Arabidopsis thaliana: one gene and its partners. The protein of the gene in region 2 interacts with the protein of the main gene of each other region in a pairwise test. Each region holds a gene or a part of one and is shown on either strand. Other genes may lie near its edges. The genes, in order: AT3G17020, AT1G33080, UMAMIT27 and HHP4.

Evidence for each region.
Region 1: the proteins of AT1G33080 (region 2) and AT3G17020 interact in a protein complementation assay, tested with the Arabidopsis thaliana proteins (one large-scale study listed by BioGRID).
Region 3: the proteins of AT1G33080 (region 2) and UMAMIT27 interact in a protein complementation assay, tested with the Arabidopsis thaliana proteins (one large-scale study listed by BioGRID).
Region 4: the proteins of AT1G33080 (region 2) and HHP4 interact in a protein complementation assay, tested with the Arabidopsis thaliana proteins (one large-scale study listed by BioGRID).

Annotation. Positions count from the first base shown.
Region 1 is NC_003074.8:5,801,090-5,807,811, reverse strand, and holds AT3G17020 (Adenine nucleotide alpha hydrolases-like superfamily protein), read left to right. Parts: upstream 1-3,529; 5' UTR 3,530-3,748; coding exon 3,749-3,932; intron 3,933-4,289; coding exon 4,290-4,399; intron 4,400-4,524; coding exon of another isoform or gene 4,525-4,581; exon of another isoform or gene 4,582-4,886; coding exon 4,887-5,084; 3' UTR 5,085-5,276; downstream 5,277-6,722. Other genes in the region: AT3G17030 (Nucleic acid-binding proteins superfamily), read left to right, coding at 1-47, 139-211, 331-478, 625-734, 1,039-1,179, 1,250-1,391, 1,467-1,592, 2,020-2,180 and 4 more; REM22 (AP2/B3-like transcriptional factor family protein), read right to left, coding at 5,509-5,775, 5,862-6,106, 6,200-6,491.
Region 2 is NC_003070.9:11,982,644-11,992,452, forward strand, and holds AT1G33080 (MATE efflux family protein), read left to right. Parts: upstream 1-3,006; 5' UTR 3,007-3,108; coding exon 3,109-3,381; intron 3,382-4,486; coding exon 4,487-5,028; intron 5,029-6,012; coding exon 6,013-6,099; intron 6,100-6,438; coding exon 6,439-6,495; intron 6,496-6,642; coding exon 6,643-6,881; intron 6,882-7,179; coding exon 7,180-7,298; intron 7,299-7,398; coding exon 7,399-7,485; coding exon of another isoform or gene 7,486-7,554; exon of another isoform or gene 7,555-7,603; coding exon 7,604-7,684; 3' UTR 7,685-7,877; downstream 7,878-9,809. Other genes in the region: AT1G33070 (MADS-box family protein), read left to right, coding at 246-320, 2,141-2,438, 2,532-2,656.
Region 3 is NC_003070.9:3,849,979-3,857,175, forward strand, and holds UMAMIT27 (nodulin MtN21 /EamA-like transporter family protein), read left to right. Parts: upstream 1-3,205; 5' UTR 3,206-3,338; coding exon 3,339-3,541; intron 3,542-3,779; coding exon 3,780-3,842; exon of another isoform or gene 3,843-4,016; coding exon 4,017-4,133; intron 4,134-4,363; coding exon 4,364-4,763; intron 4,764-4,891; coding exon 4,892-5,043; coding exon of another isoform or gene 5,044-5,068; exon of another isoform or gene 5,069-5,157; coding exon 5,158-5,281; 3' UTR 5,282-5,529; downstream 5,530-7,197. Other genes in the region: AT1G11440 (uncharacterized protein), read left to right, coding at 1-531; UMAMIT26 (nodulin MtN21 /EamA-like transporter family protein), read left to right, coding at 7,027-7,197.
Region 4 is NC_003075.7:17,697,083-17,704,196, reverse strand, and holds HHP4 (heptahelical protein 4), read right to left. Parts: upstream 3,564-7,114; 5' UTR 3,312-3,563; intron 3,212-3,311; exon of another isoform or gene 3,191-3,211; 5' UTR 2,982-3,190; coding exon 2,716-2,981; intron 2,624-2,715; coding exon 2,371-2,623; intron 2,283-2,370; coding exon 1,629-2,282; 3' UTR 1,245-1,628; downstream 1-1,244. Other genes in the region: AT4G37682 (hypothetical protein (DUF1399)), read right to left, coding at 353-481, 555-594, 678-736; NAGS2 (N-acetyl-l-glutamate synthase 2), read left to right, coding at 5,361-5,726, 5,924-6,011, 6,121-6,329, 6,426-6,577, 6,664-7,102. UniProt on the Arabidopsis thaliana protein: May play a role in abiotic stress response.

The DNA of each region.
Region 1 (6,722 bases), on a different chromosome or scaffold from region 2:
GAACAGCGTTTTGGAAGCTGTTATTATCAATGCCGATGTTCTTCCTGGTATCTTACAAATTCTGGCAGCACATTCATTTCCCCTGCCGTACGATGCCAAGTTGGTGGTTATCCATTTAAAACATAAATTCTATTTCAGGTACAAACATATTCATGCTTACACTAGGGGACTTTTGGAGCTCCAACACCATTGATCTCTATCTACATCGGAGGTATGCTTATTCGGTAGAGGTGAATTATCATCATCTCGGATTGAGATGAGTTTGACTGCTTGTCATAAGTTTATGATGTCTGTATAGAGTTTCTTAAGGATCTAATGTCTCTTGTCTAGGTATTATGAGTTGGTGGAAACACCAAATGGGATTCTTCGGAAAGGCAGAGAAGTTTTGATCACTGGATGCTACCTTCGTACCGCGAGAGAAGGATTTGGCACTCCACGGTTACTTCCAACTGAGTATCTTGTCGTATTGCTAGATGAGGTTTGGTTTCTGACAATCTTTTGAAAGAGAAATTAGAACTGCAGTATTGAATTTGCTTGTAGTTAGTCCTAACACATCTCAGTTTTCATGCGAAGTTTATATGAAAAAGAGTGGTTTAGTCTTTACCTGACTTTCAAATACCACAGGACCAAGATGATGATGCAATCCTCATAGCAGCTCAATTTTGTTCCGATACTTTCTCATCTGTTTCTCTTGATGCTTTCAACGATGGAGCTTCTTACTCTCTGTATGCTAGGTAAGAGAATATGTGGGTAAACAATCTTACTACCAATCTTGGTAAAAGTAACTTACTATTCACATTCCTAGTTGCAAACACATTCAAGAAACTTCAAATACTAATACAGTGATTATTTTTATCAGATCAAAACCTTTTGGAAGTAATGCCTAGTATAACTCCAAGTGTTGTGATTTTATAGTAAAATTGTAGAAATATGCGTAAAGTACCCCATAACAAAAGTATATGTTTTGAGAAATTGAGTGGTTACCATGACTTAACTTCTAAAGTAATATTTCATGTTCCCCTCTTTGTTTGAGAGCAGAATTGAATCTATAGGTCCTCTGGAATCTGAACTCACGTTTAGTACTGCACGTAGAAGGCAAATTTCACTTGTAGATGGTGATGGCGATAGGTTAAAATTTATCTTGTGGGGAGAGCAAGTCATTGTGGCAAACCTTCTGAGGTAAGCTCCTGGCTGGGTGCTTCTACCTTTAAATTTTTCGACCAACCCCTTCTTATAGATTCATTTTCAGTGTGGGAAGTGTGCTTGGGATTGAGAGGCCTTATATTTCTAGTCTCGAAGAGAGTGCAATGGAAGGAAATTATGAGTTCTGCCTTGAATACGGTAGCGCAACACATCTCTATCTAGTGCCATCAACCTTACAAGAGGAACGGGTAAATGAAGTTTTTTTTATGTTGCTTCCTTTTTCTGTTCAGATTTTTGCATTGATTTGTTTTTTTTTTCTTCAGGTTTGTGTAGCGTTGTCACAACATCAGTGTCAAGGATCTAAACTGCTTGGTTCAGTCGGAGTTTCACAGGTGACATTGCCTCGTGATGCCGATGGGTCTGTAGACTTCAGTAATTATCCTTTTCGGGTGAGTAGAAGTTAAGATACCATTTATTCAAGCATGATGTTAATTGATGGTTATGGTAATTGATATTTGTAAAGTTCACACTGAATCTAGGTTCATAGGTTCTTAATCAATTCCGTGTTTAGAAATCAGGCAATAGGGAGGTTCTTCATCACTTCCGTGTTAATAGGTTCACACTGAATCTAGGTTCATATCGCTACAGATCCTATTCATATGCATACCATTTATTGGTTTTTCTTATCATAGCACCAAAATGCATTCATAAGTCTTACAGTTTTGCTTTTATATGGCGCACAATATCATCTCTGTTGGAAATTTACAGCCTTGTAAGCCTAGGAGATTATACGTAAAGCCTGCTCTGGCTATTATTTGAAAATCTATGTCTTAGCTGCATCTGCTAATATTCCTCTCCTTGGTTGAAGTTCTGCAGACGATGATAACGGACATTCGTGACAAAACGACTGGCATCAGTCTTTATGGGGTTGTAACAGACATTTCATGTGATCCAAACGCCACAGGAGTGGTCTTTTCTTTGAAGATCGAGGACACAACTGGAGCAATATGGGCTAAGCTCCATTTTACCAATTACTGGTATAAGCGTGTTTCATGAATCTCGAAACGACATCTGAACAGAAATTTGAAGGCTTTAACATTCTGTTTAACAGAAATTTGAACCATATATAATATATGGTTTCCAGGTCGTTGGGAAGGTTAGGGCTTGGTCATGTCGTGTACGTGTCTGGGTTATCCTGCAAAATCACAAAAGAGAACTGGTAAGCCGTTTCTCTTGCTTTGAAACTGATAGATATACTACGGATCCATCGCTATTGGGAAACTGATTTAGCTCAAACATGAACTGAATACTTATCAATAAGTAACAGTAGGTATTGGTTTATTGCTTTAGCTTAAACATTAATGGAGTTCTTGTTTTTGGGTTGAGCAGCATTGAGATGTTATGGCATGAGAAAGACGAGAAAGCTACATTCGTAAACCTTAGCTGCTTGCCTGCATTTCTGACCTCTTCTTGTATTCACCTGATCTCCACTCTCTCCCAAATATCAAAACAGAGAAAACCTGCAATAAATGTTCGTCTTGCTCTCTAAATGATTCACAGAGCTTTATGTGGCGTTTCCTTTGCACGTCTGGATAATTCGTTTATTTTTCTTTATTGGACAGATTTGTCGGGTTAAGCTGGATGAGATCGACCAATGCCATAACATCAACACTAGACTAGCTCATAGCCTTTGCGGCCATTTCATAGATGAAGAATCATCATCATCTTATGGAGCGAACCTGCATTGTAGTTTCTGCCGAGTAAGCTGCAACAGTAACACAGAAGTAGTGAGAACATTCCACATAACGATAACACTTGCAGACGAGGAAACCAAACTATACGCGTGGTGTACTGGTCAGTCTGCATCAGCTATACTTCAAATATCTCCTGATGAATTCTGTGACCTCCCAGAGGTAACAAAGCAATCTGTTATTATATATATTTGGTTATAATAGTAGCTAATATATGGCGGTAAAATGAATGAATAAAAGAAGCAATGTAAAATTATTGGTGGTTCAGGATGATCAGCTAATGTATCCGTCTTCATTGGAGAACGAATGGTTTCTAGTGATTTTAGCAAACAGCGGTAGCCGGAATTTGGGTTCCGGTCATGAAACGGACGACACTTGCTGGGAAATCACACGAGCTCTCAAGATTTGAAGCTACCATGAATTTTCCTTTACTTGTCATGATTAGTTGAAAAAACAGACTCTGACCGTCTTTAAAATACTAAACTAGTGGAGAGACTATTTGAATTAAGAACGTGAATGTCTGTTTGTCTTTTTGGACAGTGTTGAAAAACTTGGTGGGCCCAGACCCCGCCCTTATCTTGTCCGTTACATTTGCCTCCGTGAAGATATTTTCCACCCACTGTTTTTTTGAGCTATTTTAATCGTAAGGCTGCGATCGGTCGTGGACTCCATTCAACGGCCATGATGTTTCTGTATCGTTAGACAGCATTACAGCGAATAACTAATAATTATTAATCGTTGATCCATTTCAATCTCCTTAGTAATACATAGTCCCTTCTTCCACATCAGAACCCATTTGTCTTTGAGTGAGAGAATCAGCTTTCAGAGAAAAAAGTATACCTACAGAGAGAGTTATGGCGGAGAGTGGTGGACGAAGGATCGGAGTGGCGGTGGATTTCTCGGACTGCAGTAAGAAGGCTCTGAGCTGGGCGATCGATAACGTGGTTCGCGACGGAGATCATCTGATCCTAATCACTATTGCTCACGATATGAATTACGAGGAAGGCGAGATGCAGCTCTGGGAGACCGTTGGATCACGTACCTTCTTAATCTCTCTCTCTCTCTCTCTCTCAAATTCCTTTTCACCTTTATATTGTTTTCCTGGAAACGTGATATAGAAATTGGGTGTGATCGCTGATGATTTAACTTATGATTTTCCGGTTTTGTCTGATCTTGCATACCTTTGTTGAAGGAACCTGACTTACTTATGCATCGTTTGATCTATAATTGGTTCTGTATGATTTGCTTGTTTAAATTTGGAAAGAATCTATTTGAAGTAGTAGTTGATCGTGTTTTGCTCATGATCATCTTAATTCTTTCCCAAGTTTATGGTTTGAATTCCTACTAATGATCTCGTTGTTGTTTGACTCTGGTTTTGTGTTTGTAACTTTTCAGCTTTTATTCCTATGAGTGAATTCTCTGACGCTGCTGTGATGAAAAAGTATGCATTGAAGCCAGATGCTGAAACCCTTGACATTGTCAATACTGCCGCTAGGAAGAAAACGGTAAGCTACTTCTTCTTTCCCTTTTAATGAAAGAATAATCCATAAAACCTCTCTGCAACTGGAAACACTTTTATGCTTACAACAGTTTTAGTTTACTAATGTTCACATAACAATACCTGAATCAGAGTATTAAGATTATGATTCCCAAAGATGGTGATCTTCCAGTTGCGGATAGTTTATGAATATGCATCACTGAAGAGTACCGATAACTTGTACAAAATAATGGTCTATCTCTGGTGTTCTAGACAAATTAATCTGAGGATTGGTGGGACTATACTCTATTGAATAACCTGTAACGGTACTGACATTGAATATGTTACATTACATCTATCATAGTTTTATTCAGAAGTTCATTGAAAGCTTTATGTTGCCTTGTTAGTTGTGACTAATAAGTGAACATTGTCAATCCATATGAATGTGACTTTCTTTACCACAATTGTTTGGTTCTGTATTTAACCAAAATTCAACTGTTGTGAAACATGTGCAGATTACAGTAGTGATGAAGATATATTGGGGAGATCCTCGTGAGAAGATTTGTGCAGCAGCTGAACAGATTCCTCTCTCAAGCCTTGTGATGGGTAACAGAGGCCTTGGTGGTCTTAAGAGGATGATTATGGGAAGTGTAAGCAACCATGTTGTCAACAACGTTGCATGCCCTGTGACCGTTGTCAAGGCTCACATCTGAGTTTGCTCGGAGAACTCTAAATAACACCACCGTGTATTCTATAATTTGTGTTTTTGTGGTCGGAATTTCTATTGTTAACTGTTGTGTGACTGGTGTTTTGTTCATCTGTATGGATAAACAACACTCCACCTTCTAATAAATACAGACTCTTTTGATTTTTGGACCAAACTCCACTCATATCAATGTGTTTTTAACTTATGATTTGTCCATTTGTTTTTATGGTTGAAGAGAAGAGGAATTAAACTTGACAAGTAACAACAACATAGATAGTTTTGTTAGCATAACAATCTTACAACGAAGTTCAGGACATAAGTAGTTCTACAGGAAATACAAGCTAAAGAGTTTCAGCGAAATTAATAAGCACGCAAAACATACATAAAATGTCTCCATAGAGAAAGAAAGCAAGACACTTAACATTCATTCCTCAATCGATCATGCACTGATCCATCTTCTCTCTGTTCTTCTTGGAGGTAAGAAGGACAAACTCGAAGGGTTTGATAAGCTTAAAGGTGCATTTGTCACCAACCATCAAAGGGAACTCTCTTGCCAATTTCGAGTATCCACCTGAGAAGATTGTCCGAATCTCCCTCACCAAGCAAAGCACCTTCCATGAACCACCATTCGGGTGACGAATCGTGAAAATCTTAGACTTATTCGGGATATGATCATCCACAAAATGTTTTGGTATTGCCTGATACATAAAAACCAGAAAATCATTATCACCAATATACAGAGATGTGTTCTTGTTTTGGTTCTGTCTTATGGTTTGAATCTTACCAGGAACTTGAGGTATGATTTCCTTATGGTGATTTTGAACTCTGGAACACCATCCAGCACTTGCTTGCTCTTGCTCTTGCTCTTCTTCTTCACTTTGTTTCTCGTCATCTTCTTCTTTGATGATTTGGAATCCTCAGTCTTCTTCTTTCTAACTAGGAACTCAGCTCGTCCCGGAGATTCATCACTTTCCTCTTCCTTCTTCACATCTATGAGGCTGTTCTCTCCTTCTTCTTTCTTGATCCCACCTGTTTTCATCAATCATCAAGAGTAAAATAATTAGTCTTCTTCAACTTCATATTCTCTGTTTTAAAGAAAGCATTAAAAGCACAAAAGCTTACTAGAAGGACCCATCGTCTGGAATTTTCGAGGTTTACGCATCTCTAAGCCATTCTGCTCGTAGATGTTGACATGAAAGACCATATTTCCTCTGTGAGTGAAGGTAATGAACTCGTTTTGTCCTAAAGCATTGTCACTCACAAACAGATCCCATCCACGCGTCTCAATGTAGTAGTATGTCGGGTTCTTGGAGACTTCTACATCCCATGTCTTTCCCCATTGCGCTCTTATAACCATCTTGTAAGAGAAGTCTTTCTCAGAGACTTTGCTTATGAAGCTGTAAGGAAGCGCTCTCTGGTTGGAACAAACAATGAAGAGTGTTAAAAACACCAGAGAAACAACAGATTCAACGTTTCAAAGACAGAGAACGTGAAGATTCAGAATTTAAACTTTTATTAAACAAAGACAACCAAAAGATTCTACCTTCTAGCCAAAGCTGAAAGATCTAACTTTTCAAATACAGAGAACCTAACATTCAACCGTTGAGACCCATAAAAACCCAGAGAAAGAACAGATTCAACGTTT
Region 2 (9,809 bases):
GGTAAATTATATGCAAAACAAAACAATTCCACAACTTTTCCTCAAGTTTTTTTTTTTTTTTTGTGTGCACCAAATTCATAGATTGAAATTAGAAAGATACATGAAGATTAGGCTTCATCGGACAAACTCGAGTAACAAATTCGAAAATTGAAAAGCTTGACTATACATAACTCAAACTTAGAGACACAAGCTGCAGTAAACTTCATAGGAGATCAAGAGAAGTGTCGAAACTAACTAACACAAGCATGCCCATGAGGAAGGAAGGGATAACGAAGAAACTTTATGAGTTGGCAACTCTCTGCGACATCAAAGCATGTGCGGTAATCTATAGTCCGTACGAGAATCCAGTGGTGTGGCCGTCAATCACCAACTTCTGTAGATAACAATAATTCAACGTTAGAGAAAAAAGAAGAAGTTACCATCAAAACAATTAACTAAAAGTGTTTTGAAAGATTTACAAGGGATTTTAAAAGGGTTTTATAAGATTTACAAGAGATTTTTAAAGGGTTTTAAAAGATGTACAAGGGTTTTTAAAAGATTTTTTTAAAGAATTTACAAGAAAACCCTTTAAAAACTCTTGTAAATTTTTTTAAAACCTTTTAAAATCTCTTGTAAATCATTTAAAACCTTTTTAAAATTTTTTTGATGGAAAATAGATTTACTAGGGATTTTAAAAGAGTTTTAAAATATTTACAAAGAATTTTTAAAGGGTTTTAAAAGATTTACAATGGATTTTAAAAGGGTTTTAAAAGATTTATAAGGGATTTTAAAAGAGTTTTAATATTGATAAATATATATTTATATTTATGACGAGAGAAATAAAAAGAAGAAAAAAGTAAACGTACGTCATTTTAGAAGAAAACTTTTTCTTTTGCTATATGTAGAGGAATTAAATCTTCTACTTTACTCTGCTTTTTGACTTTTCAAAAAGAAAAAGATTTTTTATTTACAATAGAAAAGTATATTACATTACATAATACACAATCAAATTTCATATTTCAAATAATAATTCAGTAAATTTTGTAATTTATTACAATATCTTTATTTAATAATTATTTTGTTTCCAGCACATAAAGTATCTACAATACTATTATTTAATAAAATAACACAAAATATTATGAATATTTCTGATTTATAAGAAATAAGGTTGAATTTTGATGAAATTCAAAGTTATTATATTTCACATATAATCAGGTTACCTAAAACACGAATATAACATATGTTCTTAAGTTAATAACATTATCTAAAAACTCTTAAAATGATCCAAAATGTCAACTGTAACTCATAAAACGTTAATGTAGATTTTAGTACAAATTTAAATTAATATATTTAAAAGTTTTATCAATCATAATTATTATATATTTTGGTGATTTTTAACAAAACTTAACTAATCTTTCTTTTTTTTTGTAATCAAAACGCAAACTAACGAAACCAATTGTGAAAATTTTGATTTACAATATTAAAGTATACATAATTTATTAAAAACATAACAAAAATAACATCATTGAAAACCTTTATAAAAAATATATAACTAAATGCTGTGACTACTTTCCTAAGTTTCTCTCAAGTTTTTTTCAAGTTTTGCTCAATTATTTATTTGGTAAATTATATGCAGAAAAACAAAACAATTCCACAACTTTTTCTCAAGGTTTTTTTTTTGTGTGCTCATAATTTATAAATTGAAATTAGAAAGATACATGAAGATTAGGCTTCATCGGAGAAATCCGAGTAACAAGTTCGAAAATTGAAAAGCTTAACCATACATAACTCAAACATAGAGACACGAACTGCAGTAAGCTTGATAGGGGAAGAAGTGTCGAAACTAACTAACACAAGCATGCCCATGAGGAAGGGACGGATAACGAAGAAACTCCATGAGTTGACAACTCTCTGCGAAGTCAAAGCATGTGTGGTAACCTACAGTCCGTACGAGAATCCAGTGGTGTGGTCGTCAACCGAAGGTGTTTAAGAGGCGGTTTTAATGTTTATTAAAAGGCCGGCGATAGAACGGTCCAAGCTGATGATGAGTCATGAGACCTACTTGTAGAACCAAATTACCAAAGAAACAAAGAAACTGGAGCGTCTACGTCTTGAAAACCGAGAAACTCAGCTTACACATTTTATGTTTGATTGTGTTGAGGGTAAGATAAGTGAGCATCAGTATGGTGCAAGGGACCTTCAAGATTTAAGTTTTCATATTGATCACTATATCAATCAGCTTAATTCCAGGGTCAAGATCCTTACAAACAATGGTGAGTCTTCTTCTTCCGTTCCTCCTCTACTTCATACTTCAGTTGCGGGTGCGGGTGCAGCTCCTCTTCCTGTTGCGGGTGCCGATCTTCCGATGGATCAGAATCAGTATGAGCCGATTCAGCTCTATATCCCTATTGGTCTTAGTTATCATATTCAATACCAACATGAAATCTATGATAATTTCAGTTTGGATCCAAATCATTAGTATCCGTTTCAACATGATCCACTCATGAATATGTTGATGGAATATCCTTATCAACAAGTGGGTTATGTTGGAGAGCATGCGCACATCCTTTTCATGAACGGAAACTACTACAACTACCACCAAACACCAACCGTTGGTCTTACTACCACCGGTCACATGCCTTCCAACAACAACACCACCCCCACCACCGATGTGTGATGTGTTTCAATAGTTTGCATTTTTGTTTTGTTCGTTTCAAAAAACCTTAAACTCTTACAACAATTAATTGGATTTGGTTTGGTTATAAAAGATGTGTCTATTCAAACACCAACTTTTGGTAAAATATTTGTAGAGGCCATACCTCGCTGTGATATATATTTCGACTATCTCATCCCATTTTTTGGGTGATTTGTTCAAAACTAGCTATGTCTTTTTCGGTATGCAATGTATAAATGTAAATGTAATTTTGACAAATTTTAAATTTTATTTAAAATTTATTTATGAAAAGTATTCATTTTGCATATAAAATACCAATTTGGCAAATTAAAGAATCTTAAAAAGAGGTGTAGGCCGGCTTTTCATTTCCTCCGTACGTAAATAAACAACCCACCAAACAAAAATCTCTCCTCGCTCCATGCCTTCTCTACTCTCTCTTCATTCTCTCCTAAGCTATGGCGAGAAGAGAAGGAGAAGTGACGGAGACCCTTCTGAAAAAGTCGACGGAGAATCGCGGAGAAGATCGGGATGGGTTAGGGATGAAGGAGAAGGTTTGGAGGGAATCTAAAAAGCTATGGGTTGTGGCTGGGCCGGCGATCTTTACGAGGTTCTCCACGTCCGGACTATCTTTGATAAGTCAAGCTTTCATTGGCCATCTTGGCTCTACCGAGTTGGCCGCTTACTCCATCACTCTCACCGTTCTCCTCCGTTTTAGTAATGGTATCTTGGTGAGTTTACTATAAGTCTATAACGATTAGATCAGTTCTTCCACACACTCTTTACTACAAATTCGTAAAACATAAAAACAATTTTTTTTTGTTTTAATAACTATTAATATATGTTAAGGATTGTTCTGATTAGTTTGAATGATATAAATCGTACTATATAAACGGTGACGTGAATGCTTAGATAGACTTCTTGTGGGAACTTGTTTTGGTTGATTTGTCAACCAATCATAAAAATTCACAACCACTCAACTCTTTGCCTTTATGAAATGAAATTATGCTATTTCTATGTATATAAGATATTGAATGTTTGGAAGGCATTGTTGGTCGTATACTCTTCGTTTATTGTTAGTGTAGTTACCTTTTTCACATAAACAAGTCTCAACTGAAACTCCATGAGTTTTGATTATTACATCAATTATTATTAATGGTTGGAAATGCAACAAAAACATTTCATTGTTAAGTAGAATCAGTGGGTAAATACAAAATAGAATAAAGTTTAGAAAGTTGGAGAATATAACAAACACCTTTAACCAAAAAAAAGTTGGAGAATATATTGATTTTATAAAAAGTGAAAAAAAAATATTGTAAGAAATGACAAAAAAAATAAAGGAATAGTCAGAAGATTAATTTATATTAAGACAATATATTCCCTTTTCTTATTTGTACTCCATAGTGCAACAAAGATAACATTGTCAAGAAGTATAGCGAGTCATTGGCCACAAATGTCCAATGGTCACCTGCCAATGCCATCGTTTTCTTAATGTTTTGGTCTTTAATTAGCATATCATGTGTGAGGTTCGAATTTATAATATGAAATAGTGCTTTTAAAATGTTATTAGACCATTGGACATATATTCAGTTACACCAAAAAAATTCAATACACAATATATGATCTCTTTACCAACAAGAGTTTATAGGTTATATACATTTTTTAGTTATCAACATGCAATATCCAAGTTTAAAGTTTAAATATTATAGTTGTTTATATATAAGCGTTTATCAAACCTACTTAGTTCTTGTTTTATAGGCAAAATATGTAAAATATTTAACCATAAAATAGTTTTTTTTTGGTGTAATAACGAACCGTCAATGAAACAATATGCAGTTAGGCATGGCTAGTGCGCTAGAAACACTATGTGGTCAAGCCTATGGAGCAAAACAATATCATATGCTTGGGATCTACCTCCAAAGATCATGGATCGTCCTCACAGGCTGTACCATTTGCCTTATGCCCATCTACATCTTTGCAGGCCCTATTCTCTTGGCTTTAGGTCAAGAGGAACGCCTTGTTCGTGTGGCTCGGATCATAGCTCTATGGGTCATAGGCATCAACATCTCCTTTGTGCCTTCCTTCACTTGCCAAATGTTCCTCCAAGCTCAGAGTAAGAACAAGATCATCGCCTACGTTGCTGCTGTTTCGTTAGGAGTCCATGTCTTCTTGTCGTGGCTTCTAGTGGTTCATTTTGATTTCGGGATCGCTGGTGCCATGACCTCTTCGCTCGTAGCACATTGGTTGCCTAACATTGCGCAGGTTTTATTTGTCACATGCGGTGGATGTACGGAAACGTGGAGAGGATTCTCTTGGTTGGCTTTCAAGGATCTTTGGCCCGTTTTTAAACTATCTGTATCTTCCGGTGGCATGATTTGGTATGATTTTCTAATCTTCTCACCTGGTAAAAGTATCAACATCCATCAACGACATAAGTATATATTTACTAGTCATACAAATACTTTTGTAGACCATGTGGTTGTAATCATATATATGAAAAGTTGACCAACTCTCTCCAAATGATTAACACATCATCACTTTAGCATTTGCCATGTGTCTACTAAGTAATTAATGTAAGCTCTTCAACTTCTAATTTATAGGTTAATGATATATTTATTATTTAATTTTACATATTTAATTATAGTATTACTAAATTTATTTTAATATTACATGATTTTTCAATAAAACAATTTTAATAGTTTTCTCATACTCGAAGATTTTTTTTTGTAATCCAAACTCAAAATACGATTATATAATAGTCTTAGATTACTTAATGATTTGAGTAAGTTATTCTCTTAAATTGATATTTATATTCTCTTAAATTGATATTTATACAATAAATCACTGAGAGTGAAGAATACGTAAGGAGCTCCATCATCAAATTCTTAGGTTTCTAGAATCCAAAACTACCCTCTGTTAAGTTGGTTTAATACAAACGTTATTTATGAATTATATGTATGATGCATTGTTGAGAATGTTGTTAGAAAAAATATTCTTGAAACTAAAAATAATTGCTTATTGCATGAATAAATAATTAGATAAATAAAAATTATATTTAAACTAAACAATACGAAAAATTCCGAAAAAACCGCGGCGTAGCGCGGGTGATCACCTAATTTATATATAATGCCACGTTGGGTGAAAAGCTGCCAAGTACATTCATTCATTTTCTCAAAGGTTGAGAAATTTTGAATAAATGTTATAGAGAAAAATTTCGTGTTTATGTATTTGTATAATAATATTATTACTATAATAGTATTAATATTATTGTTATAATATTACTATGATTAATATATATATATATACACATATATTATGATAATATATAATAGCACTTGCTTGGTGATATTAATTTTTGGCAGCTTGGAGCTATGGTACAACTCGATCTTGATTCTGCTCACGGGAAACTTGAAAAACGCTGAGGTTGCTCTTAACGCACTTGCAATCTGGTAAAGTATTTTTATCAGTTTTATGTCTTTTGTCTTTGAAGCTATATTCATACGATCGATTTGTACATTATCTTTAGATCATTCGTCTGAATGCTACTGACATTTTACCATTTTTGACTTCATACGGAACACTACTGACGAACATTGTTCGTAGGAAAACAGAAAGAATTGGTTTTATTGTCTACATAACAATATACATTGATGCTAGAGAAAATGATAGGTTTAGGTTACCAATTGTACTTATACTCTCTAGCTAATTGGTAGCCGCGGAATAGCATAATGCTTTTGCGATTGATCATAGGCACTTAGATTCAATATTATATGTTATAATTTTCGCAGCATCAATATAAATGCACTGGAGATGATGGTAGCCTTCGGCTTCATGGCAGCAGCAAGGTGCGTATATATTGTATATACTAGATATATTTGATTATATTCTTCTTGATTAAGTCATTCTAAATATTTGATTACACATGCTTTATTTAAATATCTTATAATCATCTTCATATTTTTATTTTATTTTGTAATAATGTTTTGTAATAGTGTAAGAGTTTCAAACGAGATCGGGAGTGGGAATTCTAATGGAGCCAAATTTGCAACAATGGTTGTGGTTTCGACATCACTTTCGATAGGAATCATCTTCTTCTTTATCTTCCTGTTTTTAAGAGAAAGGGTTTCATACATTTTTACAACAAGTGAAGCTGTTGCCACACAAGTAGCCGATCTTTCTCCACTCTTGGCCTTCTCCATTCTCTTGAACAGTATTCAACCAGTTCTCTCTGGTATGTATCTTGCCTTTTCGATACTCCTATATTGTTTACCATATATAAGACATTAATTCATCGAACGTTGTAGGGATTCATTTTTCAATGATCACTCTATATTCATGCATTGACTGAATATGTGAAATTGGTTATTATAGGTTTTTACGTAGAAAGGGTTTTGTGTGATATATATCCACTATCCAGTCACTTTCACGTATAATGAGTTACCAATTTATCATTATATGATGAATACGTGACGAATGAGTTTGTTTATAACCCTAGACAACATGTTGAACTTATTTATAAATGGGTACAGGAGTTGCTGTTGGAGCGGGATGGCAGAAATATGTTACGGTCGTTAACCTTGCTTGCTATTACCTTGTTGGAATTCCTTCCGGTCTTTTTCTTGGCTATGTCGTTGGTTTACAAGTCAAAGTAAGTCTCAATTTTTATTATTAATATTTTCTTTTTAGTTTTTTAATTTAATTTTGTATATACAAATATAAAATAGTTTTTTTTTAAATATAAAATTTAGGGTGTTTGGTTAGGAATGATTTTCGGAATCTTCGTTCAGACTTGCGTGCTTACAGTAATGACTATGAGAACAGACTGGGATCAACAGGTTTGCAAATCGAATATTATTGGATTTTTAGTAGAAAATTATAAGTATTTTTTTTTGGTTATAATATAAGAACTGACTTGTATATATACATTACTCCTTATTGTTATAAATAATGCAGGTGTCTTCGTCGTTGAAACGTTTGAACCGTTGGGTTGAACCAGAATCCCCAAGTCGAAACCAAACTTTACAAAACGAATGATGGTGAAGATTGAAGTAAAACTTGAGTTTGTATTCGAATTTTGAATTTCTACTTCACCCTCGAATGTACACACTTGCGTAAAATGTAAATGTGAAACAAGTGGTAACGAATTTGGACCACTAAAGTATCAGTCCTTAACTCAGTGATCATTTTCACCTACTAAACTAGGAATCTTTAAGAGCTTTCAAGTGGCAAACCAATTATCGCACATTCTTAGAGAAAAAAATTTGAGAGGAAAAAACGGTAAACAAATACTGATATAGATCAAAGAAGAAAGAAATAGCACTACAACAAAAATCTAGTGTAACTATTATAAAGCTGTCGTAACAAATCAAAGCCATTTTGTTTTGTTAGCATTTTGTTTCGAATTTTTCTTGGCTATGCTATAGATTTGCAGATAAAGGTAGAATTATTTTTTCATTATTATGATTTTTCAAAACAAAATATACGTTGTTTTCTTATTTTAACATTTCTTCTACCGAATTTTTATTCACCAAATTTTTTTATGTAGTATAAAATTTAAAACTATTTTTCTTTCAATGTCAAAATCTATACTATTAATTGGGAAGTATTGTAAATAAACAACCTTATGAAGGGTAGAATATTACATAGAATGCCATTGATTGTTAGTGTTTTTAAATAAATTCATTAAGGATACAATAGTAATCACAAAATTAATAGATTTAAATTAAAAATTGTAATATTTTTTAAAGTAATTATTAGTTTCCCAAAATTAAAATAACTTTCTCTTTCCTATTAATTATGGACGAAAAATTAAACTTTATTTCTTAAAATTTATTAACCAATAAGAATTGCAAAACTAAGATTTGATATCCAATTATACTATTTTATTAAACTAACATTTTTGAAGTTAATTTTTATTTATTTTTTTTAAAAAATCATAAAACTTGCTTGATACCATTAATAAAAATCATAATTTGCGATAGATAAATAAATTTAATTTTAGAATTTTGGGTTAAGTATTTTGAAATATAAAATGAAAACAATTATTTCACAATTTCTAAAAAACAAGATTAGATATAACAAAGATTTATATTTACTATGAATTAAACTAAAAATAATTAATTTAAACTAATTATCATTATGCCATTCATTTAGAAATATTTAAACAAGAAATTATACATATTAATTTCCATATATTTTGGGGGTTTTTTTCTTCTTTTTTTCAACCGGATATTTCTTTAAATAAATCCATAATATATTATTGCACAAACTTTTTTTAATAATGTAAATAATTATACATTTTTCATTCAAAACATATTATCCAGCAATAATAGATTGCTTTTATGGGTGTATTTCAAAATGTAATTATATTTCAAAAATCCAATTAATTATGATTAAACAAGGGAAATAAGAATATTGAAAAATGTAGCTAAGGAAATAAACATTATTAAATTTCTTACAAAGGTATTTGTTAAAATGTTATTTATATTTTTGAATTTGAAGAAGGAACAAAAATCAAGAAAGGATATTTGTGTGTTTAACTTATGATATATTTGTAAACCTTAACATCATATATGTTTATCCACAAAACACAGTCATATAGTATAACATGATATTTAAAGGTAAAAAAATAAGACTTTTGGAACATACTTTTAATGTAATGAAATGAAAATAGGAATTTTGAGACACAAACGACATGAAAAGAGACGGAAGCACTATATATAAAAAAAAATGAAACCAAACTAAACATCAAATTAAATATCCAACGGGTATGAGTTTGGGTTATGAGCACTATATATAAAAAAATTATTTACACACATAACTCTGCATGTATGTATTTTGTGACACAAATTCTATTTGTGATGATTACGGATAACGGGTTGGTAGTATTTTATTTCACATATACAGACGAGTTATGAGACGAAAAATTTATAATAGCACATTATGGGTTTTCCGTTCCAAGATAGTTATGCCTAGCAAATATACATGAAATAACCCAATCTAAAACCAAATCCATATCCTATTTTACACTGATAATCAAACTGTTATAATGTTTTGATTAGTTTAGAAAATAATAACGTACAAGCACTTAACTTTACAATTAAGTAATATCTTAATTTATCTTACTAATATAATTTTGTCTTGTGAGTCCGGATCTTAA
Region 3 (7,197 bases), 8.1 Mb from region 2:
GGTGGTCAAAAGAATGTTGTCAAGAAACGTGTGTCTTTTGCTGAACCGGTAGAAGAAGTCAAACCAATAGAAACCATTAAAGAGCAAGAACAAGAACAAGACGAAGATTATGATGAAGAAAGTGAGGACGAAGATGATGGTGATGATGATGATGAAGAAGAAGAAGAAGGGGATGAGGAAGCTAAAGAAGAAGAAAAAGATCACAGTTCAAGCTATGGAAATGAGGAATATGAAGTCGTAGATAAAGGAGAAGTGAAAGCTTTGTATGTTCCGTCTGGTTACGGATTAGAAGCGACCGATCTCTGTGAGGTTATATTTGGAGGTTACTTTCCTTGTGTGTTACGTAACAAAAGACGTCAGGAAGATGAACAAGATCGTGGGGCTGCTGTTTCTTGCTGGGAAAGCAACGATTCTGATCCGTGGAAGACAACTTCCGATCACCTTTTCGGGGATTCATATCCGTACGGTTACGAGAATCGGAGCGAAAGAAATCAGTTCGAGGTCTCCTCTTATGGTTACCGGATGTATTAACAACCCTAGTTATCATCAGTTGTGTCAATGTGAGGTAAGAACAACATTCTTTTGATTATTGATGAACCTGATTTTTTAGTATCTGTTACACAAGAGATGAGATTTACTGTTGTATAACGAGGAGGGGTTACTTAATAATAAAACGTCGCACGCAAAATCTATCTTCAACCTTTCTATTTGTAACATTCTCTTTAACACGTTTGTTTAAAATCTAAAATCTTTAAATACTACACTCGATGTGATAATTGATTACTGTATCCATCGTAATTATTATTGGTATATATACATTTCTTTGTGAAAAACACCAAATAAATGAAAGAATTGTATCATGGTATATCTAATATCTATCACTGTGAGTACAAGTGCAGAAGAAATTGTAGAAGTAGAAAAGTCAACGATAAAGATGAATTAGCTGAAGTTGAAGAACACTCTAATAAGTAATAACAAACAATGAACACCATGGGGGTTCTTGATTATCTTAAATGAAAATTAGTACCCGATTCAAAAGAATATCATTTTTTTGTGTTTTTGGAAACTCTTTTGAGACGTTAACATGTTGACTAATAAATTATGTGTAAATATACTTTTTTGCAGAAATTATTTTTGTGGATGTATAACTTGTTTACCTGAGCATGTAAGTATATGGAATTTTCAAAACTGTACTACGTATAGACAATATGCAAATACAGAAAACAAAACAAAATACCGTATTTACACGCGATATTAATAAGGTTCAATGACATGCTACTTCTTAACTAAAACAAAATTTAAAATGATTGATGAAAGCTTTACATGTGCGTCATGGAGGCTTAACTTTGTTTTGAGACGTCTACTTCTTTTTTTTTATTCTTATCCCTTTCCAATTTAGTTATATGTAGTATAATCAGATTAATTCACCATATATAAAACCCTTTTTCAAAAAAAAATAAAAAAAATTATAAAAGTATAATAATTATTGAGCTGTTGGTTATACTGTTTTAATTTCATCGAATACTTTCTCTGTTTTGTTTTAAATGATGATCCAGAGAATTTTGTTTATCTTATTTCAAGTGATGTTTTCAAAAGTTTAAATATATTTGATTGTAACCATTTATATAATAGAATATGTTTTTTACTAGTTGAATTAGTTTTATTTTAACAATTTATATATATAAAATAAACAAAATATTTTTTTTATTATTTCTTAATTTATGTGAAAAACTTTAGATATGATTTAATATGAAAAGATAGAATATATTATATACCAATCTTGTAAATTTATTCTAGAACTAAGTCAAAACCACTAACTTTTCTTTTGTGACAACTTTTTTATAAAAAAAATTTAACATCATTAGAACCACTAACTCAATTGTTATTATATTTGGTGAATTGATCTAATTAGTAGAAGGAATATATATGTCTGCACTACTGGAGAGAAAATGCCCCGTCCATTATGTTCTAAGCCTTTTCTAGATAACTTACTGAATCTAAAAATAGCATCTGCTTTTTGTCCCTACAAAGTTATATGGACAAACTAAAGGAATGAAAGAGTTCGATATACCCAAATGGGGATAATATAATTTTTTCATCAACTTTAAAAGTTCAAATATAGAGCTAATTATACGCATTTATAATTAACAAAAACGAGATAGTGCAAAACAAGATGGATCCAATGAAAAGACAAAAGAGAATAATTAATGGATCGAATATAATTCAAAATGGGCACAAAACAAATTTGCACGCAAAAAGTTATTGAATGAGAGTTGCAAAATCTCATATAGTACTTATTTACTACATATGATTAGTTTATCTCGTTGAAAAGTTCGTGTTTTTTCCTATTTTGCACCAAATTCAACAAATCCTTGAGTCAGTCCAATTACAATTGAAAGTAAAGAACCCAAACTTGAACCTATACGACCAGACGGAGACGGGCATGCAAGTGTTTAAGTGTCATTAGATTACAAATGTTTAAGTGTCATTAGATTACACGAAGTATAGATTTAGATATACCAACTAGCTCGGGTTTGCATGACTTATTTTTTCTCACTAAACTCAGTTACATCATCTCTCCGACTCTCTTTTATGAAAATCATTTTGCTAATTAATAAGGTGCGCGGCAGATAACACGCATGATAAAGCCAATGTATCGGTTTCTCATTTACTCATATAACGTATAAAATGGAAAAGCTAATTCATCGGCGCCTCATGAAACGTGTGATAAAGCCAATGTATCGGTTCTCATTTCTACTATATAATAAATAAATAAATATAACAGTAAATATACACATATTGACCGGAAAAAAAAAAGATTGTTACCGCATGAGCAGTTATATTTGTGACGACTTCTTAAACTTAAGTATCCTACTAATTTTGTTCTTTCATTAGTTAATAATATGCTCGGGTTTGTAGTAGTGCTTTGTTCTTCACAAACGCTTATCCTATATAAAAAGAAAGTTTTTTTAGACCAGAAAAGTAAATAAAATTAAGCTAGTTGTGTGTAGGAACATTCAACTTGTTCAAATATTTGAACTATTTTGTAATTTATAATTTTACATAATGTGGAACAAGATTCTAATATTATTTAAATTGAACTTGACAGCACTAAGTTTTTTATTTATTTATTTTTGATAGAAAGACCACTAAGTTAATATAATAGAGCAATAATTCAGGGGTTTTTTCTATTAAAATGACAGAACCCAAACACAGTACTCTTTCTTATAAGTTATAAATATGGGAAGGGTGGTTGCCAAACTCAAAGTACTTTGGGTCTTAACTCTTTCTAACACACAAACTCACATAGAATTCAAGAAAGAGAGAACGAGGGAGAGATGGGTGAGGATATGCGAGGAGTGAAAGTAGTCTCAAAATGGCCACCGATGATAGTTATGGTGACATCACAAGTAGCGATGGGTTCGGTGAATGCACTTGTGAAGAAAGCTCTTGATGTTGGTGTGAACCATATGATCATTGGTGCTTATCGAATGGCTATTTCCTCTTTCATTCTGGTTCCTATCGCCTATTTTTTGGAAAGGTTTATTGATATTTTGATGAAAATAGTTGAGTTATATATTTTTCTTATGCAAAATTTTCAAAAATTTGATTATATCAAAATAGTTTTTTCATATTTACATAATTAACAACATTTACTACAATTGAAGATTGTCAGAATGCTCTATTATAACATGTAAATAAACACCACTACATGTTACTAATATATGAAGTAGATTGATATTTTCTTTCCCCTAAAGTTTATGTCTTATTGTTAACAGGAAAATAATACCGAAAATAACGTTTAGGCTAATGGTCGATCATTTCATCAGTGGTTTGCTCGGGTTTGTCTTCTCACAATTTCTTATGTTCTTTTGTCGTCCATTTTCCATTTTCCTTTTCCATTATACATTGATTGTTTCCACAGAAGAAAGATTTTCTTTCAAGTGAGCATAAAATCTTCATAAGCTAGCTAAATTGTTTTTAATCTTAGCTTAGTTTTGGGTTTAAATTTGCAGGGCGAGTTTGATGCAATTTTTCTATTTGCTTGGTCTGTCCTACACGTCAGCAACTGTTGCGTGTGCTTTGGTAAGCTTGATGCCTGCAATCACCTTTGCTTTCGCTCTTATTTTGAGGTAATTATGGAACCATCTAACTTCTTTATCATTAAAATAAGTACTGTATTTACTATTACTATGCAATGGGTTCATGCAGGATTTATTCGTATTTGTTATGTATACAGTGCATATAATTTCTTTTGTTTTTTCATCAAGCATATTATACTTCTATATATAGAAATACTCAAAAGAACCTTACTCATAAATTATCTCAAATTTATCATCTAAAAGGTTATATTACTTTTCAGAACTGAGAAGATAAAAGATCTAAAGACCCAAGCAGGAATGATAAAAGTGATGGGAACTCTAATATGTATAAGTGGAGCTTTGTTCTTAACATTTTACAAAGGCCCTCATATATCAAACTCTCACTCTCACCTAGAGGCTCTTCCTCACAACAACAGCGATCACAACACCAAGAATTGGCTTCTTGGATGTCTCTACTTAGTCATAGGAATCGTGTTGCTATCTCTATGGATATTGTTTCAAGGGACTTTAAGCATCAAGTATCCTTGCAAATTCTCAAGCACTTGTCTCATGTCAATTTTCGCAGCTTTTCAATGTGCTCTATTGAGTCTTTACAAGAGTAGAGACCTTAAACATTGGATCATCGACGATGGATTTGTGATTGGTGTCATAATATATGCTGTAAGTTATAATACTATATTATCAGAAATCTTAACATTTTTATAAATTATAATGTAGTATATATGTAAATAATTAAATAAATTTTGGGGTTTACCTAATATTACCTTATTACTATACACGTATTATAGGGAGTGATAGGACAAGCAATGTCGACTGTAGCAGCGACATGGGGAATAAACAGATTAGGAGCTGTTTTCGCATCAGCAATTATGCCAGTTTCTCTCATATCGGCTACTCTATTCGATTTCCTTATCTTACACACTCCTTTATACCTCGGAAGGTGCTCTCTTCGATCATCTCTATGAAATTTTTTGTATAGCTTTATAGATGTTAATGTATTAGGTTCATGCTCGTATTACTAATTACAATTTATTTTGTAACTTTTGCTATACAGTGTGATTGGATCAGTAGGGACAATAATAGGTCTCTACGTGTTCTTGTGGGGTAAGAACAAAGAAACGGAAGCAGACATAACTACATTGTCTTCTCGGATGAACAACGAAGATCAACGAGTCTAGGTCGCCCATTTAATCAAATAATATTGTTGTCATAGAAAGATTCATATGGCTTCATTGTCGTAAATTAGTATTTACTACTGAATACATTTACCGTAAAGACCAGTCATAAATATTTAGATTTAAATTGTGCAAGCACACTCACGTTAAAGACCAGTCATAAATATTCAGATTCAAATTGTGCAAGCAGTTTGTATAATTCATACTTTTCGTTTGCAGATTTATAATTTCGTAAAGAGATAACAAAACAGATTTGTTATAATATTCAAAACTAACCAATATAAAGCATATATGATATATCAAAACATTTCACAACAGATCTGTTAAAAGAGCCTCGTAATATTGTTTTTAGTTTCAAAAGCTCTGTTTCTTGGATTATTTTCGTGCTGATTTTAAATGTGTTGCGTTTTGAGTTTGTAGCCTGTTGCTAAAACAGTAAGAATTTAAGGTCTAGAAAAAATAAAGACCAATTGTAATTAGTACTACTGTATATATATTATGCACTACTGGAGTGAAAATGCCCCGTCCATTTTTTCTAAGCCTTACCTTAATCTAGAATAGCATCTGCTTTTTGTCCCTACAAAGTTCGACGGACAAAATAAAGGAAGGCAAAATTTCGATACCCATATTGGGGAGAAACAACTATATACTAATACAGTATAATTTTTTTCATTAACTTCTATATTGAAATGTATAACAATTATTATGTGCATTATAAATAACAAAAACGAGGTACTGCATGGATCCAGTGAAAGGACAGAGCGTAAAAGGGATCGAATCCAAATTGGGAACAATAAAATGGAGAATTATTGAATGAGAGTTGCAAAAATCTCATATAATTATGATAACTTTTTCCCATCATATCGAATCAGAATTCAATATGACGTGGTCATCGTAGATGGGGAATTCAGTATAATACTTTAGTGTTTATGTGTCATTAGATTACACTAAGTATAGATTATACCGACACTGTTTTACTTCATTTGCATGACACGGGTGATAACGCCAATGTATTGGTGTCTCATATAACGTATAGAATGGAAAGCTAAGGTATCGGTGTCTCATGGAACGTGTGATAAAAGCCAATGTATCGGTGTCTCATGCATTTCTACTAAATATAAAAGTAAAAATAATACAGTAAAGGCAATCGTCATGTATATATCGCAACACTGACCTGAAAAATAAATAAAAAATATTTTACCGCAGTAATTATATTTGCGACAACTTCTTAAACTTAAAGCTAACGATTTAATCCATTACTCAATAAGAATATGCTCGGGTTTGTGCTTTGTTCCCTCCTCACAAACACTTATCTTATATAAAATAAAGTTTATTTTTTAGATTAGTCTTAACCAGAACAACAAAAAAATATATACAAATTAATTAGCTAGTTGTGTGGGTGGGAACATTCAAACTATTTAAATATTTTGACAAAAAAAAATTTTATTATTTTTTTTTACTTTTCACACATAATGCGGAACAAGATTCTAATATTATTTAAAATGAACTCGAGTAGACACCACTAAGTTTTTTTGTAAAAAATGTTTTTGATAGAAAGACAACTAAGTTAATACAACAATTCTTCAACTCAGGGTCTTTTCTATTAGAATTAGAGAACCCATACACACATGTTTCTTATATATATAGAGGAAGGTTTGTGGTTGCCAAACTCAAAGCACATTGGGTTTCAATTCTTTTTAACGCACATACACCAAATGACATAGAAAGAAAGAGAGGACGAGAGAGGGATGGGTGAGGATATGCGAGTAGTGAAAGTAGAATCAAAATGGCCACCGATAATAGTAATGGTAATATCACAAGTAGCAATGGGTTCGGTGAATGCACTTGTGAAGAAAGCTCTTGATGTTGGTGTGAACCATATGATCATTGGTGCTTATCGAATTGCTATTTCCTCTTTC
Region 4 (7,114 bases), on a different chromosome or scaffold from region 2:
TCCAAATTAACAAAGACAGAGTTGATAAACGCCACTTCATCTTCTTCTCATTCTTAGCCAATCTTCATATTCATCATTATGATGCTAGTTCTTTTCCCTCATGTTGATTATGTGTTTCATCCAAGGATAAATTGAAGCTAGGAAACACACAATCAACACAGACCAAAGGTGCTTATTAACCCAAGCAAAAACTCCACGCTCCTCAACTGAGATCAATCTCAATCATCACCTCTTTTAACCAAGCAGGCATTCTTCTAAACAGAGAAGACAAAACACAATCTATTTCTCGTCAACCACTTGAGAAACAGCCTCTTCTCTTCTTTTGAACATGAATTTCAAACCAGATCAAGCTTCAAGAGTAGACAACAAAAACAACAACTTCCTCTCTTATCGAGAAAACCAAAATTATAAGAAATGCTTTGTATCTAGCCAGAGCTTCTTGCAGAAAGACGTCATCATTATCTACATGAGCTCTTGAAACCTGCAACAAAGACACACAAACAAATTCGATTACAACAATGTGGTTTGGGACAAGAAGCTGACCATGATTTTACCTGATAGTAAAACGGGCCTTGTCTCTTGACAGCTGAAAGTCTGAAACAAGATCATAATATTTCTCAAGCGCTGAACTAACACAAGTAAGGGAATGGAAGTGAATACTTGTTCTATAGAGGTACCTTGTAATACTCCTCGTTTGAGCAGATGGGCTTTTGGAGGTTGGAATCAAAGGAAGCATCGGATTTGAGGGGGTTTACGAACATTCTCTTGGCTATTTCGAGTTGATTTCTCTTCCAAGTTGTGTCGTCTCCATTTTTGTTGTTACAGTGGCCGAGCTTTTTGTTTTCACAGCGATGGGTTTACATTGGTTTTGAAATTCAAATTGATCTCGGTTCGGTTTAATTTGGTTTAGAGAAGAAAACCAAAAAAAATACGACACGCGATGGGTTTTTGAGAATGAGGTGCGTGGATCCAAAAATGCATGATTTTTGTGGATTAACCCCTTTAGAAATCGTAGACACGCGCTCAACGCGACATGAGTGAGAGTGGCTGTGAAATAGCACGATTGGTAAAAGTGGGGTATGAAGTGGAGCTCTCTCATTGGCTAAAAATATAAAAATAGTAGGGGAGCTCCTCCTCTCATATATTGAAAACAATAACAAACACTTATAAATGTTCTGCATTTTCAGAGTAAATTTTATTGATTTCTGAATTTTTATTGATGTGCATAGATTTTGTTTCATATTTTGTGTACTTGTAGTTTATCAACACTTATGGATCATTCGAAATGTATACCAATCAGGGGAAACCTTCAAGAAGAAGATCAGAATCAAAGTATCCTCTGCCATGGAACAATTAGGCTTGTGTCAGGTTCACAAGGAGGCTATATGAGGTTGACACTGGATTATGATACTTTGAATGCTGCAATCAAGACTGGAATCATCTAAAAATATGAATCCTTCAGCTTCTTTAACCAGTAATACATATGTGGATTAACAATATAAATCCTTTGTTGAATAAAGGAAACAATTAAACGTTTGATTACATATAAGACTTTACATAATCCAACTTTTATATGAAGCTACTACAAACAAGATTCAAAGATTCCATCTAATCTTCAATCTTCATCTTCAACATCCTTCAATATCTCTCCACTTAAGATACACTAGCCCAGCTCTATAGTGCGTGAACGCACCAGCAACAACCAGAACATGAAACAACTGATGGCTATGTCCTGCTATATCGAATTTACCCGGCATCCATCTCTCTGGGATCCTAGTTGCATAAACCAGAGCTCCTAACCCATAAAGCAAACCCATCAAAATCTCATAACCTGTCGTGTGAAGGGCTTCAGGTTGGTCCCAAAAGATTATCAGCTTGTGAAGAATCGGAGCTAAGCCAGAGAATCCCATTCCAAAGAACAGAGACGCCCTCACCACCCGAAACTCCGGGCTTTGGAAAACCGGGAGGAGAGAAACAAGCACAGTGGCGATTCCTAAGATGGTTATGAATCCTAAGTAGAGGTTGCAGAAGAAAGGATCACACATGAAGGAGTAATAAACCGGAGGGTAGAAGGAAGTCGCTATTAGAGCTGCGATGCCGGCGTAATCAAGCCTAAGCATTATGTAGGAGACTCGCTCGGAGTGACATGAGAGGAGGTGGCACGTGCTGCTTGCTAATAGACAGAACATAGCACCACCTAGAAATGCATAAAACGGCCATCGAGTAATTGGCCTGAAGATCAAAGGAGCTATCAAGTTTGCAAGATCTTCCCTCACAGAATGCTGCAATGCAATTACAAAGATATGAACTTGGCCACATTTTGAAACAGTAATCTGCAGGAATAGAGAGAAAGATTGAGTCTTTTCTTACCAGAACACACATGTCAGTGTAGTTGCCATGAGAAAATCTTTCAGGCAAACAGTTATAAAGAAGGTCCATCACATGCCAACTAGATGGACTAGAAGGAAGGCGAGCCATGAGCTCAGAATGAAGTTTGTGGAGATCTGTTTTCCTCAACAAATCGGGTAAACGGTGTTGAAGCGAATGAAGATCCACGACACTCGGTACTTTCGTTGCAGTGTATATAGTGAGCGCCAAAAACAGGAAAAACCCAATCAAGTGCCTGCAAATCCCAAAGAACACACACACACAAACACACTCAAGGCTCTTGAACTTTAAACAAGGATACATCAAGAAACATGATTCAACACTTACGTCCAAACATTCAAAGTCTCATTATGAATGGTAAAGATGCTGAGAAGAATCTGTTTGATCGGCCATTCGGATCGGTAATGACCAATGATGTACTCATTGTCTCTTAAATAAGCAGGCAATGAATGAAACTCCACCAATTGATACTTGACTTTCTGCCATAACCTCTTCCCTTTCACATTATGTTTCTTGTCCATTGTTTCAGATGAAGCTTGTGGCTTTAAATGTTCCTTGATCTCTGCCTCATCACCCATTTTCTCTCTACTCATAAACAAACCAAACCCATAATATCAATCATACAGATCTAAATCTAGCTCAATCTGAATCATTCCAAGAAGTTAGGAATCAAAGTTTCAATTTTGAACGTTTATGCTAAATCTTGTTTTGTTCTGGATAATGAAAGTATCGATTTTTATATGCAGATTCAGCTCATTCATTACCTAAAGCTTCAATCCATAAATGGATTTGAGAAAATTACCTGAATTTCGAAAGACAAACCCTGTAAGATTTAAGAAATTGAGAGATAAGTAATTAAGAGAATTATGAGAATTTTTCTTCGATTTCGTGAAATTAGGAGAGAAAAGGTGAGATTTTGTTACCTGGATCTTCAATGCCGACGAGACAAAATCTTCTAAGAAAGATCTCTCTCTTTCTTAAAAGTCAATCAAAATAGATCTCAAGGTTTCGTTTTTGTCGAAAACAGAGAGTTCTTGTTTTGGTATGAAATCGAAGAAAGAAGAAAAAATAGAAGACGACGATGGAAGTGGAAGCTCTGAAGCCACAAAGCTTTATGAATTTTATATATTTTTATATATTTCAAATTGGGACCACTAGTTTTGTTTTGTTTATTAGTAGGACCCTTTTATTTTTCTTTATTTTCGTTTGGGCTAAGAATTTAATAGCTAGAGTATTTATTGTACGAGGATGGAAATACATCAAACAGAGAAAATGTTTTGTCGAAAATATTAACAAATATTTCTCCTATGAAATCAAGTCTTTCTCAAAAAAAAAAAAACTTATTTGATATGGGGAATTTAAATTAAGGGAAAATTAATTTAACATACCATATGAGAGCAAAAAATAAAAAATAAAATAATTGTGCTCCATGGATTCTTCTTATTAATGATTAAAATTTTCAATTAGGTGAAAAGGAAAAATTTATGATTGTGGCACATTTATTGCATTTAATCATCTTTCAACTAAAAATGGAGATGTCTATTTATGGTTTTGTTTATTTGGTCGGATTTCTTTTTTTTTTTTGTATAGAAAATATTGACAACGAATTGAATTTCAGTTCTAGTTTATGTTTGGATTTAATTTTAAAGCAAAAACTATCTATCGTTAAGAATTTTCCGAAATAAAGATTCACATTTCAGAAGATTTTTTTGTTTTGTTTCGAGTCGGTTTTGGTTATTTTCTTACATAAAATACACAGAATAATTCGAACCATAATATTGAATTGTTATTTTGGTTCACGTACGTTTACCGTTGGAGACTTTATAGCTCTTCGTTTATGCTTGTACGGATCAATAATCATGCATACTTAAGTATTTGGAAAGAAGAAGAAAAATAAAAGATTTTATCACAACATAAATAGTAACGTGAATTGGCATAAATGAATCGCAACAAACAGGTCGCAATCACAATGATAAAAATATCTACTGGCACTACTTCATAAGGAAGGATCTTGTAAGAATATTACTTTCGTTTTATTCGGATAAGCAGAAGATATTCGTTTTTTTTCTGGCTCGTTTTTTCACCTATTCAAGTTTTATGTCAATTTGGTTACGTACTCCAAATTGTGGCACTTGTAATTTGACACTCTTTATCAAAGTTATCACTTATCTTACTTGCCAACGAAACTAGTATCAGTATTCAGAGCCATTAATACAAATCAATCAAATCTTAGAGGAAGAACTAAAATGATGTACATAAATTGATGTTTTAGTTTTGCCAATTAGCATAAATAAATACTTTTAAGAATCTTTTCACATTTTTTCTCTAATAAAAGTGAAACATACACATTAAATCTTTTCACATTTTTTCTCTAATAAAAGTGAAACATACACATTAGAATCAGTTGTTCACCATATATAAAAAGGCTCGCCAAATTAAGATCTGGACATACTTAAAATGGGATTGGGCTGGTAAATATTCTAAAAACATTCCTTAAAAAGCCCACTCTGATAAGTCCGCGACTTCGAAACTCCGATGCAGACCGAAATTGGTTCTATAGTTTGGGAGAGAATGACCAGACCGGTTCAATCAATTTTCCTTCGATGGACCCAACCGAATAACTTCCATGTGGGGACACAACTTAAGCTTGTAACGACCAGACATTCAAAGAGTTCCGTCAAATAGTAATAGAGAAAGACTAAAGAAGAAAATATGGAAAAATAAACAATAAATAATAATAGAAAAAGACTATTGAAGAAAATATGGAAAAATAAACAATAAATAATAATAGAAAAAGACTATTGAAGAAAATATGGAAAAATAAACAATAAATAAAATACCTACTTACCGTGGGTCCCACTACGGTACTACTGCCGCCTTCTCCGACCGTAATCAGCCGTCACCTGCCGGTTTAGTTACAATAACAATTTAGTATTTATTTGAATTCTTTCTCTCATCGAAGTCTAAGGAAGATGGAGCGAGGAGCTTTAGTGGGTTCTTCTTCTACTTCTAGCTACTATGTTCCTTACCACTTTCGCCAATCAAAGTCGAATTTTTCGTCATTCAAACCAAAAAATAAGCTAAACCCTACTCAATTCCGGTTTAACTGTTCATGGTTTAAGCCGGTTAGTTCTATAACGGCGGCGAAATGCAATATGTTTGACTACGCGGTGACTGCAGCCGGCGATGTGGAGGCTGAGCATCCAGTTGACGACAAACAGTTTGTGCGTTGGTTCCGTGAAGCATGGCCTTATCTTTGGGCTCACCGTGGCTGCACATTCGTCGTTATTATCTCCGGCGAGATCATCGCCGGCTCTTCTTGTGATGCCATTTTGAAGGTACCGTCTTTCTTCACCGTATTATATACTTTGATTTATGAGAAAAAAGCACGCAAGGTGTTCGATTGTTTGCTTGCCTCAACTAAAGTTGTTACTATTCTTATTTTGCTTTGTTATATGATCTTTTCTTTGCAATGTGCTTGAGTTTTCAGTTCTCGTATTTGAGTAGAAGGTGAAGTGATTTGATATATGTGCAGGACATAGCGTTTCTTCATCATCTAGGAATAAGGTTTGTTTTAGTTCCTGGAACTCAGGAGCAAATCGACCAGCTTCTGGCTGAGAGAGGTCAGAATATTATAAGCTTTGTCACGATGTTAGATTCTAGACTATAAACCTTGCTAGCGTCAAGTAAATGGTTTGGTTAGCTACGAGTCTAATGCTGTGTGAGTTGCAGGACGCGAGGCTACGTATGTGGGACGTTACAGAGTAACGGATGCAGCATCTTTGCAGGCTGCTAAAGAAGCTGCAGGAGCAATATCAGTGATGCTTGAGGCCAAATTATCTCCTGGACCTTCTATTTGCAATATCCGTAGACATGGTGATCGTAGTCGTTTACATGATATAGGTGTTAGGGTTGATACCGGTAACTTCTTTGCAGCAAAAGTGAGATTTTCCACTTTTTTTATTGTTCATACGACCTTGAGTCTTATTAATGTCGTTCATAATGACCGATGATTATCTTGGGTCTTGTTGTGGCAGAGAAGAGGTGTTGTTGATGGTGTTGATTTTGGAGCGACTGGTGAGGTAAAGAAGATAGATGTAGATCGGATTTGTGAGAGGCTTGACGGTGGTTCTGTAGTTTTGTTGAGGAACTTGGGCCACTCGAGCTCCGGAGAAGTCTTAAATTGCAAGTATGCTCGCTCTTCTCCAGAGAAAAATGCTTCTTCCATTAACCTTAGAAAGATTAAAGTTTTCTAATTCCACTTTACTTCTGCAGTACCTATGAGGTTGCTACAGCTTGTGCTTTAGCTATAGGAGCAGATAAGCTTATTTGCATAATGGACGGCCCAATTCTTGATGAGAGTGGACATCTTATTCATTTCTTGACACTTCAAGAAGCAGATATGTTAGTTCGAAAACGGGCACAACAAAGCGACATAGCTGCAAATTACGTAAAAGCCGTTGGAGATGGAAGCATGGCTTATCCCGAACCTCCTAACAACACCAATGGTAATATTACTTCTGCTCAAAACGGGAGAGCCGTTTCATTTTGGGGAAACGGAAACCACACTCCGATCTTTCAGAACGGTGTTGGATTTGACAACGGAAACGGATTGTGGCCTTGTGAGCAAGGTTTTGCTATTGGTGGTGAAGAAAGATTAAGCCGCTTAAACGGTTATCTTTCTGAATTGGCTGCTGCGGCGTTCGTCTGCAGAGTGAGTGCTTTT